Neodiprion lecontei: one gene and its partner. The protein of the gene in region 2 interacts with the protein of the main gene of each other region in a pairwise test. Links are inferred from orthologs where the notes say so. Each region holds a gene or a part of one and is shown on either strand. Other genes may lie near its edges.

Region 1 (7,888 bases), on a different chromosome or scaffold from region 2:
TATACGGCGGTAGTAATTTTTCATAATGAGCCCCTTTTAAATTTCAAGACAATTTCGAGTACTGCTTGTTCTAATTACTAGTTTTAATTATCTGCAATTTTAGAAGCAGAAGTTTAATGAAGCCAGAAAAATTATGTGTCATCTGATTGCATGTTACAGAAGTGGGGATACGAAGAATTTGTGGAAAGATTTACCTGCCGGTGTAAAATATAACTTTTTAATATTTGAAACGGTGGATTCATTCCTAGCCACTGAGGTGACCTTAGACTTACACAACATCAGCAGTATACAAGTTCGTGGTGTGACCTCTGAGAATGAGCCACTTAGCATAATGCTTTCAGTAAATAAATTTCCTACTCTAATTGCACTAGGCCGTAACAGTTCGCAGCAACTTATAAATGTGAGGTACCCAACAAGAGAAGGAATAAGAAAAGCTATTAAGGAATTTTTAGTGTTGAAAGGAATAACGGTAGATATACCTGATAATACTAATAAACATCCCAGCGAGTGGATGAAGGTTGAAATACCAAATGTGTTGGACATAATGAAAGAAAGGAGAGACGAAAAAGAACAGGAGGAAGTCAGAGCACTCGGAGATCTCCTTTTTCAGTTAGATTTAGAGACAGCATTGAGATATTCGATTGACCACGAAATTCCAATGGTTAAAGTTATAGAGGGGGACAAGATTCAGGCGCTGAAAGCTTACCTGAATGTACTGGCAAAGTACTTTCCATTTGGACGCAATGGTATTTTATTTTTAGATAGATTAAGAGAACTTGTTGATCAGCGAGAAAGACTGACAGGGAAAGAATTCAGACAAATTGTTAAATCGACCGAAGAAGAAATATCCCCCATATACTCTGGGCCACAGGGATGGATTGGATGCAAGGGGAGTGTTAGTAGTTTTCGTGGGTACCCATGTGGACTTTGGACAATGTTCCATATGCTCACCGTAAACTCTGCAATCCGTAATAAAAACAATCTAGAATATAAACCACAAGAAGTTTTACAAGCTATGCTTGGATATATCAAAAACTTTTTTGGATGTGCTGATTGTTCCGAACATTTCGTCAAAATGGCTGGTGAAAATAAAATGTCTGAAGTACGTACTTTAAACGAAAGTATTTTGTGGCTGTGGAAATCGCACAATCTTGTGAACAAAAGACTGGCTGGTGATAAAACTGAAGATCCTATGCATAAAAAAGTACAATATCCGTCCAAAGAGCAATGTTCGACTTGCAAATACAATAACGAGAGTTGGAACGAAGCAGAAATATTACGTTACTTATATCGCAAGTACAGCTCTTCAGAAATAAGTTACTATAATTCAAGTGGAAAACTAAACGAGAATAACAGTATCGTTCACCTCAAAATTAGACAAGAACGATTTGCTTCAGATAAGTATAGTGGTCAACGAAAATTGGGATGGGATTTTACAATATTTGACATAAGCATCTGTGTGGTCCTGTATGTAACGTCTGCAACGATACTCGTCCTTGTTTGTATAAAGTTTGCGATGAAAAGGACTTACAGGAAGAAAACATATATACATGATCTTTTTGGCAAAGTATAACTTTGTTTGTCGCTTATGCGATTTGATTTATCAAAGAAACATTGCATCACATTATAAAGTTTACCATTAAATCTGGGAGAAATCATGTATATTCAGTTTGTCTGTTCACTGTTGGCGCAGCGCTACAATATAGGGAGTATAATCAAATCTAAAATAAATCCAGAATGAAAAACATTAGTTGCCAAAAAAAAATAGTATCCTAATAATAAGAGTGGTGAAACGAAAATCCGTTGTAATTTCAATAGATCAGTGAACATAACTTTAGCCCTGTATTGAATGGATAAACTGTAAAGGTCTTGTACATAAAAAATGCATCTAAATAGATACTTTGTTGAATAAATCTATGCAATAGTTGAATTCTTGCATGTGGCAAATTTGAATGGAATTACGAAACGGAATTAAAATAAATTGTAGCTATTTAAACTCGTTAACAGTGTAAATAGAACCTCCCATACTTACATACCTCATGAATGTAAATATCGCTGCAATGAAATACAAACTAGTCATTACGAACTTTCGATTTGTTCCGTACCAATTAGAGAAAAGTAAAACGAAACGAAATACAGGTTCGATAGTATTACTTTCTGGGATTCGCATAACTAGCTCAACAGTCAGTCAACACATCTATTGAATCGATGGTGGTGCGGCTCAATGTTACAAATCATCGATGTAATTACAGGTGTAGTTCTGATATTTAATTATTTAAATCTCACATCAATTCTGCAGATGGAACGGAGTGAACGTCGTAAGTAATTGTCAAAGAGATGAGCGAGACGAGGATTCGAGTTACTTTCCACCATTCTGTTCCGTGATTTCATTCTGTGGTATGGTCAGAATTAGGTAGGGGGTTTCTCTTGTAAATCCATCATATAATTGGTTAATCGCTCATGGTCCATATTAAGTTTATACAGTGTGAATACCTGACATATGATTTAATATCACTTATGTGTATGCAACGCATTGAGAGAGCAGTGTGCACTAAGCTTTTATAAATATTACTGGGATGTAAAGGTACTATCTCAGAGCTCGCTATACTCAGTATTTACCAACAGACCAACCATGAAATGTCACTCATTATGAATATCATCAATGCCTATGCATCACTGACACGAAAATTCCGCAAATAGCATAATGCTGCATATAACGCTGGATACAAAGTTTTTTTTTCACGCAGCATTAATGCCAGAAGATGTATTACAGAATCCAACTAATTGCATGAATCATCTTCTGGCATTATTGTCCGCACAAGGCTCGGTCTTCAACGTCTGTTCAGAATTATTCATTATTACAATAAACGTGTTTGAGTTAGAATTGTTAACAAACCTAGAATAAATTAATGAAAAAACGCAATTAAATTATAATGTAGTAAACTTTATTAGTTTTATTAGTTCATTAGTTATAAAAAGTGACAAGATCACTCCACTTGGTTCATTAGATAATTATACTTTACATATTGAATTTCAATCGATAACAGATTTAATAAAAAAAAAAAAAGCAAAAAAAAATAACAATTCACAGAATTATTGTTACGTATTCAACTTCTGAGTAGAATCGCTGTTGTGTATTCCTAAGAAGGCCAATCGACGCCAGCGTAAATCATCAGGATCAGGAGTAGATGGTGTGGTCATACATTCTAGACTCAATTGCAAGGCCCTTCTCAAATCCTCGTCTTCATCCGTATCCTCATTGGAATTGGGTAAATATTTGTCTGCCTTATCATTACTTGGATCCAATCTAAGATTCGAAGATTCGTCAACACCTACATTAGCATCCTGTAAGCTCAACTTTAATGCTTTTTGTAAGTCAGCATCATCCTCCTCTTCTACAGTAGGTTGATCGCGTCCCTCAATTCTGATTGGTATTATTCTTTCTCTTGGTTTTCCAGTTTCTGATGCAATATCTGAATGATTTTTTTGGCTCATTCTACTGACTGCCGTTGCTATTGATGATGTTGAAGCTAAACGCACGCATGAATTTGGAACTTTAACTTCTCCTAAGGCCAAAGCAGTTTTCAAAATTTTAGCATCTTCCTCTTCTTTGGAACCTAAACGATACCCCATACCACTAGTTCCTACACAATCATTTGATCTCGCTTTTACTCTCGGTGTTGCTGTTATTGGATTTTTCGTAATTACATCCTCTGCCACACATTCAGGTAAAGAACCGATAACAATGAAAATTGAGTAACCTGTGAGGAATATATGGTAAAATGATCAATGAAGATTGAAAATGATGATTATTTGTCGAATAATATAAAATGAAATTATCAACATACCCTCCTGCATCAGCTGTGCTAGGTACATAGCCAAATATGTGTTCGATATAAGTTGTGGTCCGCTCAACATTGAATTTAAGTTGAACCATTGTTTTCCAAGTTTTCTGATAGTAAACCAGTGGCCCTTGTAGTTACAAATATATGCATTCATGTCTCTAAAAAAGTCAATTATTAATCCTGGTAGGTATATTGTCAAGTTAATAAATGCTTGTTCCCGATGATTGAATTATTTTCGTTAATACAGTTTGCATTTGGTCAGTGAGAGTAAGATTTGACGTGATCTGCAGCAGTGCTGAGGCACTTAAGTTTAAATAAGGATGATCAAGATGAGTGTTAATCACAGTACTTTCGATGGGAACAAAAAATGATAAATAATAACCTACGAAGGATCGTTCTGGGCCATTAGGGCTGTTGCTTCAGTGCTGTTATAAGGAATTAATTCAAGACCCCACACTTTAAGAGCACTGCTTATGACTTGCACCGAAAAATATCCACTGTCATCCATGTTTCCCGATGGTTGCTATAACAAAGGTATCCATTGAATTAGCTTAAAATGATGAAAAAACATCAGCTTTTAATTTTACAATAGACCTTGCAAAGTGGAGTGGAATTTCACTGCTTCATATAGAAGCAATAAATTGTAATACAACATCTGGATTGTGAGATTGAATTCAATAGTGTTTTCAACTGGTTCCAGACAACATGCACAAAGCAAGGATAGCCAACAACAAGGTAATACTATTTTCATTTACAGCCATTTCCAGCTACATTTCATAGTACAGAATGCTTCTTTGAGTAAGTTTTATTTCTAGCTCAATAAATACTGACAGTTCTGTCGCGTCAGTAAAAAGATAATACTAACTTTCTATAGTCTAAGGTTACCATCCCTTAAAATCAATAGGACTATGAGAATCCTCTGTAGCTTGTTGTCGTAATGCTATTGATAAAACAGCTAATAAGTCCGAGATGTATCTAATGTACATTGAATTGACTAATTGAAAATACTATCAACATGGGGAATTTCAATTGATTAATGATCCGCACAGAATACGCACGAAGCAATATACATACGCGATGGTAGAGTGAGAAAAAAAAGATTGTGTATGCCATAATAAGAGTAAGACAAACGGTTACCTCCAGAAACAACTGATACTCCTCGCTGTCGATGCCTGATTCAGCCATTCTGAGGCGTTCCTCCTCGTCCATCTGACATGCCAAATTTGCAAGATCTACAGCGTTGAAGTATGGACCCTGCAGAAGAGCATTGAGACAATGCTGCGCACAAAGGTATCCTTCTTGCTAAGAAATAAATTTGAACCAAAATGGACATGAAAATTTTAGTGAGCATTATAGTACTGTGGTTGGATAACTACATTACCTTCTCGTGAAATATGCTCTCCATTGTGAAGTCAGGGTTTTACAAAAAAGCGAAATAAGATTCGAGTGAAAAAAACGAAAAATGAGACCTCGGATAATAGATAATAACACGCGATATCAGGCGGTGGAAAAGTAAAATAATATATTTCAAGTCAAGCAATCAAACGTCATACATTAATATCCATGTATGCACATACGTTTGTGTGGAATGTACACTTTTCAAGCGCGGTGGATGTAAAGAGAAGATGGTAATGTTCAAGCTTGTAGTGTCCTTCCTCCATGCCTATGTCAAGTCAGGACAAATAGCCAATCACAGTCTTAGCCGATGGAAAAGGGCCAATAGGCTCCCAAATTTACTCGCTTTTGATGAGTGGTTTTTGGCGCTGATAGCTGATTTCGGAACGCGCTCGCAATGAGTTGCAACGAATGGCGCTGTATGTGGAATCACCTCTCTGTTTGGGTACTAGCCCATACAACCATTTTTACACTTGATATTACAGTTTTGTATTATTTCATATTATGATTAAATTACAATTATTTGAACATTTTATACTGTAAATTATTTGAACATTTTATAGGTTATTTTAACATAAGATATATTATTATATTAGAAATTAATTTTTAAAGAGTCAATAAATTTAATTAAAGCATTAAGAATTATAGAGTTTTTAGAATTAATAATTTCTTCGACACTGTATGATCCTAAGCCCAACAATAACGCGATTTGACTCGGAGCTCCACCTATCGGCTCTCGTCAAAGGCGTCATAATTGTCAGACTCGGGACAGTGTTCGATAATTATTGTTGTGGAATTTGGAATACTCCCAGCAGAATTATTGATGGAGCGAGAACATTGTTGGTGAAAGTTGAGAAAAAAATACTGAGTGATCATTGCGGAGAACAAAGATAGTAATTATCATATTAGAAATATTTGTACTCTCGCTTAACAGCCATGGCAACGATTGGGGAACCTCTCACATTAGCCAGGGGTAAGTTAACTTATTGCTCTTGTTTACTCAGTTTGGAGTACTGTCAGTTCGTCGTGCAAACGCCGGATAGTTTTCAATTCGTAGATACGCTTCTGGGTGTGATTAGTAATTAGATTGATCATGTAACTAAATTCATTGAATAAGTAATTGCAGAATAAGAAATGTATAATTTGGTACTTCAATTCATTCAATTGTCTGTATGTCTGTAGTATCATCTAATTATTAGTTACTAGAATGGACATTCACTATTTTTTCATTCTGGTACTCGCTTATGTTTATTTGTGTTTTTATAGATGTCAAAAGATCGATCGAACTCCTCGACAAACTACAGAAAAGTAAGTTGATGATTGAAATTTTTTTTAAATTACCTACATCCTTACCAAAACAAATATTTGTTAGATTATTACAAATTAAAATGGTTTGTATAAAGTTTTCATAAATAACATCATCGAGTAATGTATTTATATTGCAATTAAGTTTATCTTGAATATTTGATTGATACTGACTTATTTTAGGTGGTGAAGTACCGGCTACAAAGTTAGCAGCTCTGCAGAAGGTACTACAAAGCGACTTTCTCAATGCAGTAAGAGAAGTCTATGAACACGTGTATGAGACTGTTGATATTCAGGTAATACTAAGTATAAGCAATTATACCTTTTTCATAAAATAATCAATCTTTCTCTGACGCCAAAGTTTTGGAGAACATTCAAACGATTCGTAACATATACTTTAATTGGTGCCTGGCATACGCCATTCATGAGTTTTTGAGACTTTGAGTTTATTAGAACTATCCTGTTTAAAACCACTCTAATATAAGAGTATGTGGAATTTTTGGTACAGGGTTCTCAAGATGTGCGTGCTTCCGCCACAGCCAAGGCGACTGTGGCTGCTTTTGCGGCAAGTGAAGGACATGCCCATCCGCGAGTTGTTGAATTACCGAAAACAGAGGAGGGTCTTGGATTCAATGTGATGGGAGGAAAAGAGCAAAATTCACCTGTATATATATCTCGAATTATTCCAGGAGGTGTGGCCGACAGACATGGTGGTTTGAAACGTGGTGACCAGTTACTGTCTGTTAATGGCGTGGTACGTAATGTGAAATTTTTACATTGATGAAATATTAAGATTTAATCATACTCGAACGTTGCCATTCAAGAATTTATACGATGATACAGGATAGTGTAAATATTGTATTTTTCTCATTTCCTCTAGTGTATTGAAGGCGAAAATCATGAGACAGCTGTGGAATCGCTGAAACAAGCCCAAAACTCGGTGAAGTTAGTTGTTCGCTATACTCCTCGTCTTTTGGAGGAAATGGAATTGCGGTTTGATAAACATGCGCACCAAACTGCACGTAGGCGTCAACGTGTGCAGTAGACTGCAATGATTATTTTTATCACTACATATATATAGAATTTATGAATAACTGATATAGATACAATGTAATGTTACTTATATTAATTATTATAGTTTTAAGCGACAAATTAATATCTGGCTTAATTATCTTGTAATTCATCACCTAGAAATAACTTCTGTATGACCATCTCTCGTAAGAACATTATCAGTATTCATTAATGAACCGTTTAAAACCGATCCACAATATAATTAAACCCAATCATAAGTGTACGGGCAAATCCTCTAAACTTTAATTTCTTTTTAAACATATAAGTTTGAA
Region 2 (9,048 bases):
GTTATAAATGTTTGCGTGATATTGTGATGAAACTGTTAATATCTGTTATTCCTGATTTTTTCCCCAAATTTAATTATATAACGATTTTTGTTGTACTAGAAAAATATTTAGTAAGTATTGGTATCCATTCGTAAGGAAAAGGTTTTTTTTTCAACGTCAGAGTACCTGTAGTACTTAGATAATGAGAACATGATTTTAAAAGATGATTGGTAATAATATTCGCTTGACTACGAGAAATTATTTTCTTTGAAAAATCTCACAATTATTCAATCATATAATTGATTAGGAATTAGAAATTATTAACTAAATCTGTGTAAACTAAATTTCATCACAAAGCTGCGTCACTTGCGGCACTCTAGCATTGCTACAATTATTTTTTTCATCATTTTTTTAATCTTCATCTCTTTTTCTTAAACTACACGTTAGAAAAATTGAGTTATGAAAATTAAATATTAACATTACACGTTACAATTAATTATCATTTATAATTATTTGCATAAATTCTTTTAACTATATAATTACTATCTACGCAAATTTTTATTACTTAATATTTTTATGCTTTTTTTGGGGTGAACAAGAGGGCAAAGGCCTGAGTGCGGGGAGACACAGGGTTTTGATTTACATGACGTAATCCACTACCATAAGTATTATAATTCATATTGATAATTATGGCCATTAAGCCTAATATGAAAGTATTGTACTATGATTAAAAACTATTATGTAGAATCGATACCAGGCATTGTAAGTATTGATATGGATAAACAATGTCACCGTATTGGAGATAGAAATCGGGAACCACGATCAGAGAATTGTATTTTTAAGCCCTGGCTTCTAGCTAGCTCCTCCAGGGTTACAAAATTATTTGAGTAAACGTAAAACAGCCATTAACAGCACCGAGGAAAGTTCCACTGACTATTGGCCGAAACACTGTCTATTGAGTTTGAATTTAATATAAATTTACTGGAGCGTTAAACATATATACACATTTACACAGTAAATTGTGTGTATGTATATTTATGTACGCATGCGATAATATTACTTTTTCAATGTTTTCACTTCCATTGTATATAACATTTTTGTATCAGGCTAGGAGATCCACTTATAGATTAGTCTATCTATTCTACGTAGTACATAAAATAGAGTTCGTAATCTATGAATGAATGGTCCTATATCAACTTTGAGTTTAGGCAAGTGAAAAATTAGCAGAGTGATGTTTATGTTAGGAGAGTGAGTAATTTCAAACGGTAATGATCCCAAAAAACTCGAAATGTTTCCTCATTTTCATTAATAAGGCTTCAGGTCGAGAACTCTGCTCATCTGCTGTTTTTCATGTCATATTTTGCGCTGCATTACAGATCTGCAAAATTAACCCTTCTCAATTAGAGATTATCACTTTCCCTTATTGTTTTTTTTTTTTAATCATTTTTTCACATAAAATATCACTTACTCACGTAGACTTAAATGAATTATTATTATTGTTGTTGTTGCTGTTATTATTATTACTATTACTATTATTATTATCATTATTATTATTATTATTATTATAGTTGTTGTTGTTGGTTGTTGTTGTTATTATTATCATTACCATTATTTTGTTAAATTTATCATATTTCTTGCTCTCGTAAAGGAGAAGTGGCAAAGAGTTTTACAAGCAGTTTTGTTTACATGGGTCACGCCGTCTCATATAACGTAACACTGGCAATATGTTGATTAGCCATTACTTCTACGATCACATCGCGAACGCCATAGCAAAACGTGCATCCAAATGGATTTGTAGTGTTGGTCGAAGATGCGCGATTTAATACAACGGGTCGCGCACTAGCCTTCAACTGCTCGCTTACTCTGTCCCATTTAGTGTAGGCAGTGATCTGTAACGCACAAGTAATATGTATATCATGTTGTATATCCATTTCGGTAGCAAATCTTATCAGGCTTGCTTGATTATAATACAATCATGACTCACTGTTACTGGGGATGGAGAAACGTCAATGAGTTTTCCAGAATCGGATGCGCCAATTGTTTCCGGTGGTAGATTCAAAGTGAATTCACAACGATGGTACATATTGAAATTATAATGCCCTGGATAATTTGTGTGCAGTACAAATTTTTTTACCCACTGCGTCTTGGCATCGAACAATACGTCCTGATTAACAAATGAAAATTTATTACAAACAGCTCTTTTCAGAAAACGTCACCGAATAATTGATTTGAGGATCGTTACGGTTGAGTACGATGCCTTTGTGAAGTAACATCTCTTGCGATACCTTTTTTCTCAAAGTAAAATGAGATATTTTAAAATACGTAAAACTCTGATATAGTGTTTGTGAGCAAGAAAAAAATCGATAGATCAAAAATACGTAGGATTATAATATTATGTTAGTATATTTAACATAAAAATCAACTAGTTGTCAATACAGGTATTGTTGTGTAGTTAAAGAATTTGGCTAACATAAGATTATCAAATAAATTGACACATTGATGTCTCGTGGGATTTCAGATGATCTTTCAGGCAAAGAAGGATTATTTGCATTGTTTCGCCAATAAGGCATGAATTCCATCTTAAGAAAAATTCTAATTAGAGTGCATGTCGGTATTTCTTTTAAAACCAATAGAAATGAAAAAAGTGTTCAATGCGATAACTATATGGAATCAAGTCTTACCAGTCCAAGGGTAAAGTAATTGTAAAAGAAATCTGAACGCCTGGTTTTGTCCCGCTTATGCGCATGGGGACTGTGGATTCTCATTTTGTCCTCTGCTTTGAAAAATACTCTAGAAGGCGCCCCAAGAGCACTCAACACATCTTCACACGAATCCCCGAACCATACCTTAAGTCACATTTGCAAAATCCATATATAAGTAGTTCATTTGTTATTTATCTTTACTTATTGAGAAATTCAAGGAAGTAGCATCAACAATATGTTTTATGATTATAATCAAGGTTTCATATGCTTTGAAAAGGTTCAGCAGTCATTTGATCACAGTTACAATTTATAAAATTGTAGAAATTGAAGGGACTTCTAATTTAGTAGATGGTCGTACAAAAAAGAGAAATGATTTCTGCTGGCAGTATGTTATACATTTTAATATTCGAATTTTGAAACAAAGGTATCTTGCGATTCTTACCTCTTTGGTAAAACGATGTTTTTTAGGCTCCAATAGAACCCTTGTTGCTGAGCCTCCCTCCGTGAAGAGATGCAATTTCAAACCACGGGTACGAATTTTATCTCTAATTACTTCTGCCTTGTCCAAATACAAGTTGTTATGGTAGCAGACCTAATAAAAATAAGCTTATTCTTAAAAGTTATGCGTTATTTCGTGATAATATTTGTTATCTTCTAAAATCCACTGGTTGTAAACGTGACATAACTCTATTATTGATCGTTGTGCAACATTCAGTGGTAGATATGAGTAACAAAATAAAAAAATCCATTTTCCGTAATGTAGATTCCATTCCGTAGATGTAACTCAACTCTGATGTTAGTGTAATCTTGGAAGTGCCCAATTTTTTTTACCGTTACGCCCTTAAAGCAAAGTTTTATTGCCGAACATCAGCTAATTATAGAATTGTAGTTAGACAATTATTACCGATTTACTTTGCAAATTCTTACAATTTACAAATGAAATTTGAATAAATTAAGAGGAAAATGGATATACGAACGAGTGGTAAAGGTGGAGGAGATGTTTTGGGACTATGTTCTTCTCCTCCGCCAGCAGTTCCAGTAGCAACATTATTTCCAACATAAATAGCAGTTTTAGCCACCAGTGGTGAAGCTCCGTTAGAGAATCGTAAGGATCCCAAGCCATGTGCATAGCCTGGTTGAAATTTAGAATCTATTGGGAAGTAGAACGACAGTCCTCTGAAATTCAGAACGAACACCTGAAACAGGAAAAGTTTATTACTATTATTATAAACAAGTGATAAGCGTTAAAAAGATTATCTGATCGTTCATACAAGCAGCAAATCAAGTTATTCTTGAAGAAGTACAGTTATAAAACAAATAAGTAATTGAATATCAGATGTTATATTTGATGAATCTAAAATATCTTACACTGCATAATCTCAATTGTACCTGTTTGTCACTGTCATAGACGCCAGGATGAGTAGCCCCAAACGAATGTTCTATTTGTTCAATAGATGGAAGTACCTCTGGTGAATTGAAAGGCAGACCACAATATTTAAGTTTAACTAGCTTCATATTATATATTTCTATAATTTTCAACCTCTGCGCGACTGGATCGAATATAAGTCGTACCCCGTCATGTGGTAAATTTATTACTAAGTCTACTTCTAATGGATTCTGAAAAAAAGAAACGTCACTTTATCTTACATCGACTCTCTGATTCTTAAACAATGATTCAAGCTTCGTTAATTCAAAAGTTGGTACATGGACTGAATAGTTTTTATTGAGAACAAACAAATTTTTGTTTTTATTCAATCATTCCACTCATAGGAATAATATAAACGTTTTCATGCAAAATTTTAATTCAAATTCGTCTGACGATTTCTATAATATAGCAGTTATACAAATAATGGTTATCTAAAACCTCAGAATATTAACTACAGAAATCTCAGCTGAATTATTACAATTTTCTTCTTTCATATCTGTTCTGTTAAAATACAATTTTGGCAGTAAATTTTTTCAAGTACAATCAATTTACTGCAGATTTGGCTATTTGTTTTGTAAATCACGAATTGATTCGTCTAGAATTAATTCAGCAATGAAGATATGAAAAAAAAATCTAAATAATATCAGAAGTATAAATTCCGCCTTTTCATTTTTCAGAAGGTGAACTTTGCAGAGCAAAAATTTGATTTCAAATCTCTTATTGCGTAGAAGCCAAAATTCTGCATAATATGAGATACCGTACTTTATATATTCGATTAGCATAGTTTTCAAATCGAAATAGCATATGTTACGTATTCTGTTTGTATTTATAAAATTTTACGCGTTATCCCCACCCTCAAATGTTTTGGATCTGTAGGTATGAAGTTCGACTACAGATGTCACTAGTGGAGACTACAAAAGCCCATCCCACTGTTTACACTCCGTGACTGTGGCATTCTGCCATTATTACTATTTACTGATAGTGATAGTGGATTTGAAATACTTACAGTATCACTGTAAAGAACTTGTACTCCCCTTATAATGCCCACTTGTGATTGTATTATTGCTACAGATTGAGAGAAATGCATTCCTGTTGAAGAAAGAAGACGAATGAGAAAAAAACGAGAGTAGAAATTATTTACATTAACAATAACTTTCGTACGGTAATTACAATTATGTAGTTTAGCTGCAACTAGAAGCACGTTAACGCGTATGTATGTGAAAAGATGGATAAAAGTAAAAGTGTCGAGAACCTTGAAAACAATCGCGGCTCGTATTTAATAACCCGTGAAGAAATGAGCTAGCCCTGCATATTGAAACGGCTATACTCCTTTGTTATAACAATGTTGGAAAATTTGGCGTGAGACAGGTATAAATGAAAATAAAAAAAAGCAGAAAATAAACATTCGAATTATGTAATGGAGTTGATGTTTACGTACACACGGATAGGAGTTTGTTTACGTGCAATGATTGTCAAAATATAATTGTTTACCACAACTAAACCTGTAATAATGAATTATAGAAGTCACGAGGGTTGCGATTGGGGCGATGACAACTGTTGAAAATCAATGAAAACATGACGCGATTGCGTTGTGAAAATTTTAACCCTCAAGCGGAATATCGTTTTCAGCAAAATTCTACGTAATATACCGAGAGAATTTACGAATGTTTCGTCACTTGCCTAAAATAAATTCCCACTGCTCACAACCGAGAGACCTCTCGGGTACCACCTCAAGCTCCAGCATCCTACGATATACTCCCAAGCCTATCAGTCACAGAAAATCAACTAAAACCACACAACGCGGCCGTAATTTTTCCGTGAACTGCGCCGTTTCTTTGTTTGCGACGTACGATTTGTGCTTAGCAAGCGGCCATGTTGACTTTCTTGTACCACACCGTCTCCCACCGCGGCTGGCAAACTGTCACCGAACAGCTGATCCCGCGCGCCTCCCCAGGGAAGACCCTATCTTTCGCGGGGCCCCGTGCATATTTCGCGGCAAATTGTATAAAACTCCAGGAAAACGATAGTATTCTCTACCGAGGTATGATCGTGAGTATATTTTCGAAAATTCGATACCGCGGACAATTTCCACGATTAGGTAGCGCTCGGATATTCCTAAACGGCGCGATGTAGCAAAAGTCACGATTTCGTTAATCTCTGTCTTGTCGTTGGTACTTATCAAATTTCTTTCTTTATTTCGGTGAGTGAAATCGAACTGATACATGTTTGATCTATGCACCCTGCGTGGAGAGGAAATGTTTTTTAAGTAAAATCAATTAGTTTTGCTCCATTTCAATACAGAATCTTGAAAACCTGCAAGTAATGACTTTCGTGTACTCCAAGTGAACTTTTGTGCGTCGGTGCATTTACATTTTTTTGCATAGATGCGTCGTCGACGTTTGGATAATACGAAATTTTGTGGAAGATAGTGAGACAATGCGAAATAATTGCATTCTTCGAAATATTCTCGACATAACTCCCACGTTCTTTTGTTTTCACGTAGGGCAACAATTTACATTCCCGCGTTTACTCAACGTAAGAACTTGACGTTTGTACAATGTAAAAATATGTCCTGTGTCGCGAATGTATTATTTTCATTTTCTTTTGACGTGTGTTTTTCGATATGATAAAAAATATTTTTCAATTTGTAATAATAATGACTTGCGAGGTAGTCGCTTCTGAGCTGAAAGGAAGTAAATAAAAGCCTTGCTTCTCCCCATCACACTCGATCAGACACGTCTGTACGTTCCGCATTATCGCTAATGCACACTTTCAACTTTCCACCTTTAGATTATTGGAGTTTCGAACTTTAGAATGCTTGACTTCTAAGATAAACTACTTTTAATGATTGTAAAATTGCCAGTGACTCGATAAATGTGCACAAGTCAGTAGTGCGAGTATAAATTTTTACCAGTGACATCCGCGTGCGTTAAGTATATGTATTCCTCTCTCAAATACAGCATCTACGTTATCAGTCGGCCAGAGAAGCGGCAAAAGGTATTTACATTTCTCTGAAATTCTAATGCTGGTAAAATTGCCAGGATTGTCTCACAACAATCGTAAGTTGTCGATATTGCAGCAGCTGTCCTGACCAAAGACTTCTCCATGGTTCTCTGTGTCTAGACAGAGGTCTCCCCCAGTCTATTGGACTCAAGATCGTAACTGCAAACCTCGTAACCCTGTGCTTTAAAGTGTGCGGAAGGGGATGGGGACAAAGTCGACTTACGCAACTCTACCAGTTCTGTCAATGGTATGTCTAAAAATATTCAAACTATTTGGAGTTGTTTCTATGTATTTTTTTATCTCTGAGTTTGAAATGTTTACTACCTTTGTGACAGTCAATGATGGATTCCAACAATTTCTCTATCAATATACCTCTCAAGTTTTACACGTTTGAGATATTCAAAATTTCGTCTTCGAATTGTTCATTTTTCAAACTCTTACATCTGTGAAATATCTGGACAGTCGCATTTTCGAATTTCTTGAATTATACGTGCTGTTTGGAATGAAAAAAAAAAAAAAACCTAGCGTGACTCTAATCATAGTGTGAACTTTTCGCGATCGGTTCGCGTGACATCGTATGCATAGATGACATTCGTCATTCAAATTGCATCATCCTTATTTACTGCAACATTGCTGAACCACACATGATGAGTATAATTGCGGTGAAGATTGGCAATATAATTGCCAATCAGTAGCAAAATCGTAATTCTCAGTAAAAAAAACACTCACTTAACCTCTTGCATACAACACGAGAGAAATAAAGAGAGATAGAGCAAATTTTATCTTATTGCGACTGTCGGCGTCAGTCAATGTGACGTCAGTTGGGGGCTCGACTCGCTCCGCAAACATATCTTGGTGATAATAAATAATATACAGTATGTCGAAGCGGGACCACTGGTTTGCATTCGTGCGCTAATTGTAAGTTTACAACGAAGCGTAAATTGCACGCAAATAGAAACCTATAATATACGGCATAAACGTTAGACACGAGCGACGATCCGAAGCTTGGTTGAATTTTAACGATTACGAAGACGTCCCTCTGCGTAATACTTTGATCGAATTCCTTTACACACTATTATTGTCTTGAAATATATTTTTTGCAAGATCCCGTAACCATTTTGGTCGAGCTCCTGAATTCCCGTAATAAGTCTCTAAATATTCTTTGTCGTACCTTGAGTGACAGAATTAATAGCTGCAGTGTAACTAGAGAGTAAATCTCAGGGATTTAAATCCAGATTAGAGTCTTTCGGACCTCTGCTCACAAATTGGTAAATTCATTTTGACACAATTATACCGACGTTTCCGTCGAATTTTGGAAACCATAATATACAAGTAAAGGAAAATAGTTCGTTGGTGAAAATCAACCTTGGCTGGCATATTATATTACATGCATTTACAGTAGAGAGTCACACACAGGCGAAGCAATATCAGCTGTGGGTTTGCGCAAAGATCAACTTCGTGTTGTTGCCACGACGAAGAGGCACGACCCCCGCGAATCATTCCCCCTTGCCCCTTTCCTCTCAAGCCCTGAGTTTTCGCATTAATCGTAAGTAAATAAAAATATTCGCGATAACAGCTGGAGACCTTTAACGACACGTTACCCGCTTGTATCTTACTCAGAGACAAGCCTTCGACATTCCCCTCGTTGTTACCAGAGACTATCTTTCGCAAGTGAAGCCGTAACGCAATATGCATCTCTGTACATACAGCTGTCGTGTGTACTCACTATACTCGTATGTAGATTAGTGCCAGCAGTAGCTACGGTATGTGATTTCATACCTGAATTCTGATGATTCGAGACCGCGTGTACGCAAGGAATGCGTATAACGTTAAATAGGCCGTTTGATAAGCGACAATTTCATAATATTTTTTTCCAAATATGTTTGTTTCGCTTATTATGATCACGGGCTTAGTGGCGTCGGGAAGAGTTGTATTCAA

The links.
Region 1: the proteins of PHAF1 protein CG7083 (region 2) and ataxin-3 interact in binary tests that used the Homo sapiens proteins (3 or more experiments, as listed by UniProt). The link is inferred for Neodiprion lecontei from reciprocal best matches to the Homo sapiens genes PHAF1 and ATXN3.

What each region holds. Positions count from the first base shown.
Region 1 is NC_060261.1:6,978,395-6,986,282, forward strand, and holds ataxin-3, read right to left. Parts: upstream 5,721-7,888; 5' UTR 5,251-5,720; coding exon 5,227-5,250; intron 5,148-5,226; coding exon 4,983-5,147; intron 4,369-4,982; coding exon 4,232-4,368; intron 4,004-4,231; coding exon 3,849-4,003; intron 3,762-3,848; coding exon 3,100-3,761; 3' UTR 1,574-3,099; downstream 1-1,573. Other genes in the region: sulfhydryl oxidase 2, read left to right, coding at 160-1,573; protein lin-7 homolog C, read left to right, coding at 6,177-6,213, 6,507-6,548, 6,729-6,841, 7,054-7,299, 7,426-7,590. UniProt on the Homo sapiens protein: Deubiquitinating enzyme involved in protein homeostasis maintenance, transcription, cytoskeleton regulation, myogenesis and degradation of misfolded chaperone substrates.
Region 2 is NC_060262.1:32,921,186-32,930,233, forward strand, and holds PHAF1 protein CG7083, read right to left. Parts: upstream 6,001-9,048; 5' UTR 5,852-6,000; coding exon 5,788-5,851; intron 5,197-5,787; coding exon 5,114-5,196; intron 4,299-5,113; coding exon 4,050-4,298; intron 3,878-4,049; coding exon 3,659-3,877; intron 3,274-3,658; coding exon 3,124-3,273; intron 2,826-3,123; coding exon 2,661-2,825; intron 2,144-2,660; coding exon 1,964-2,143; intron 1,869-1,963; coding exon 1,671-1,868; 3' UTR 1,363-1,670; downstream 1-1,362. UniProt on the Homo sapiens protein: Plays a regulatory role in autophagic activity. In complex with BCAS3, associates with the autophagosome formation site during both non-selective and selective autophagy.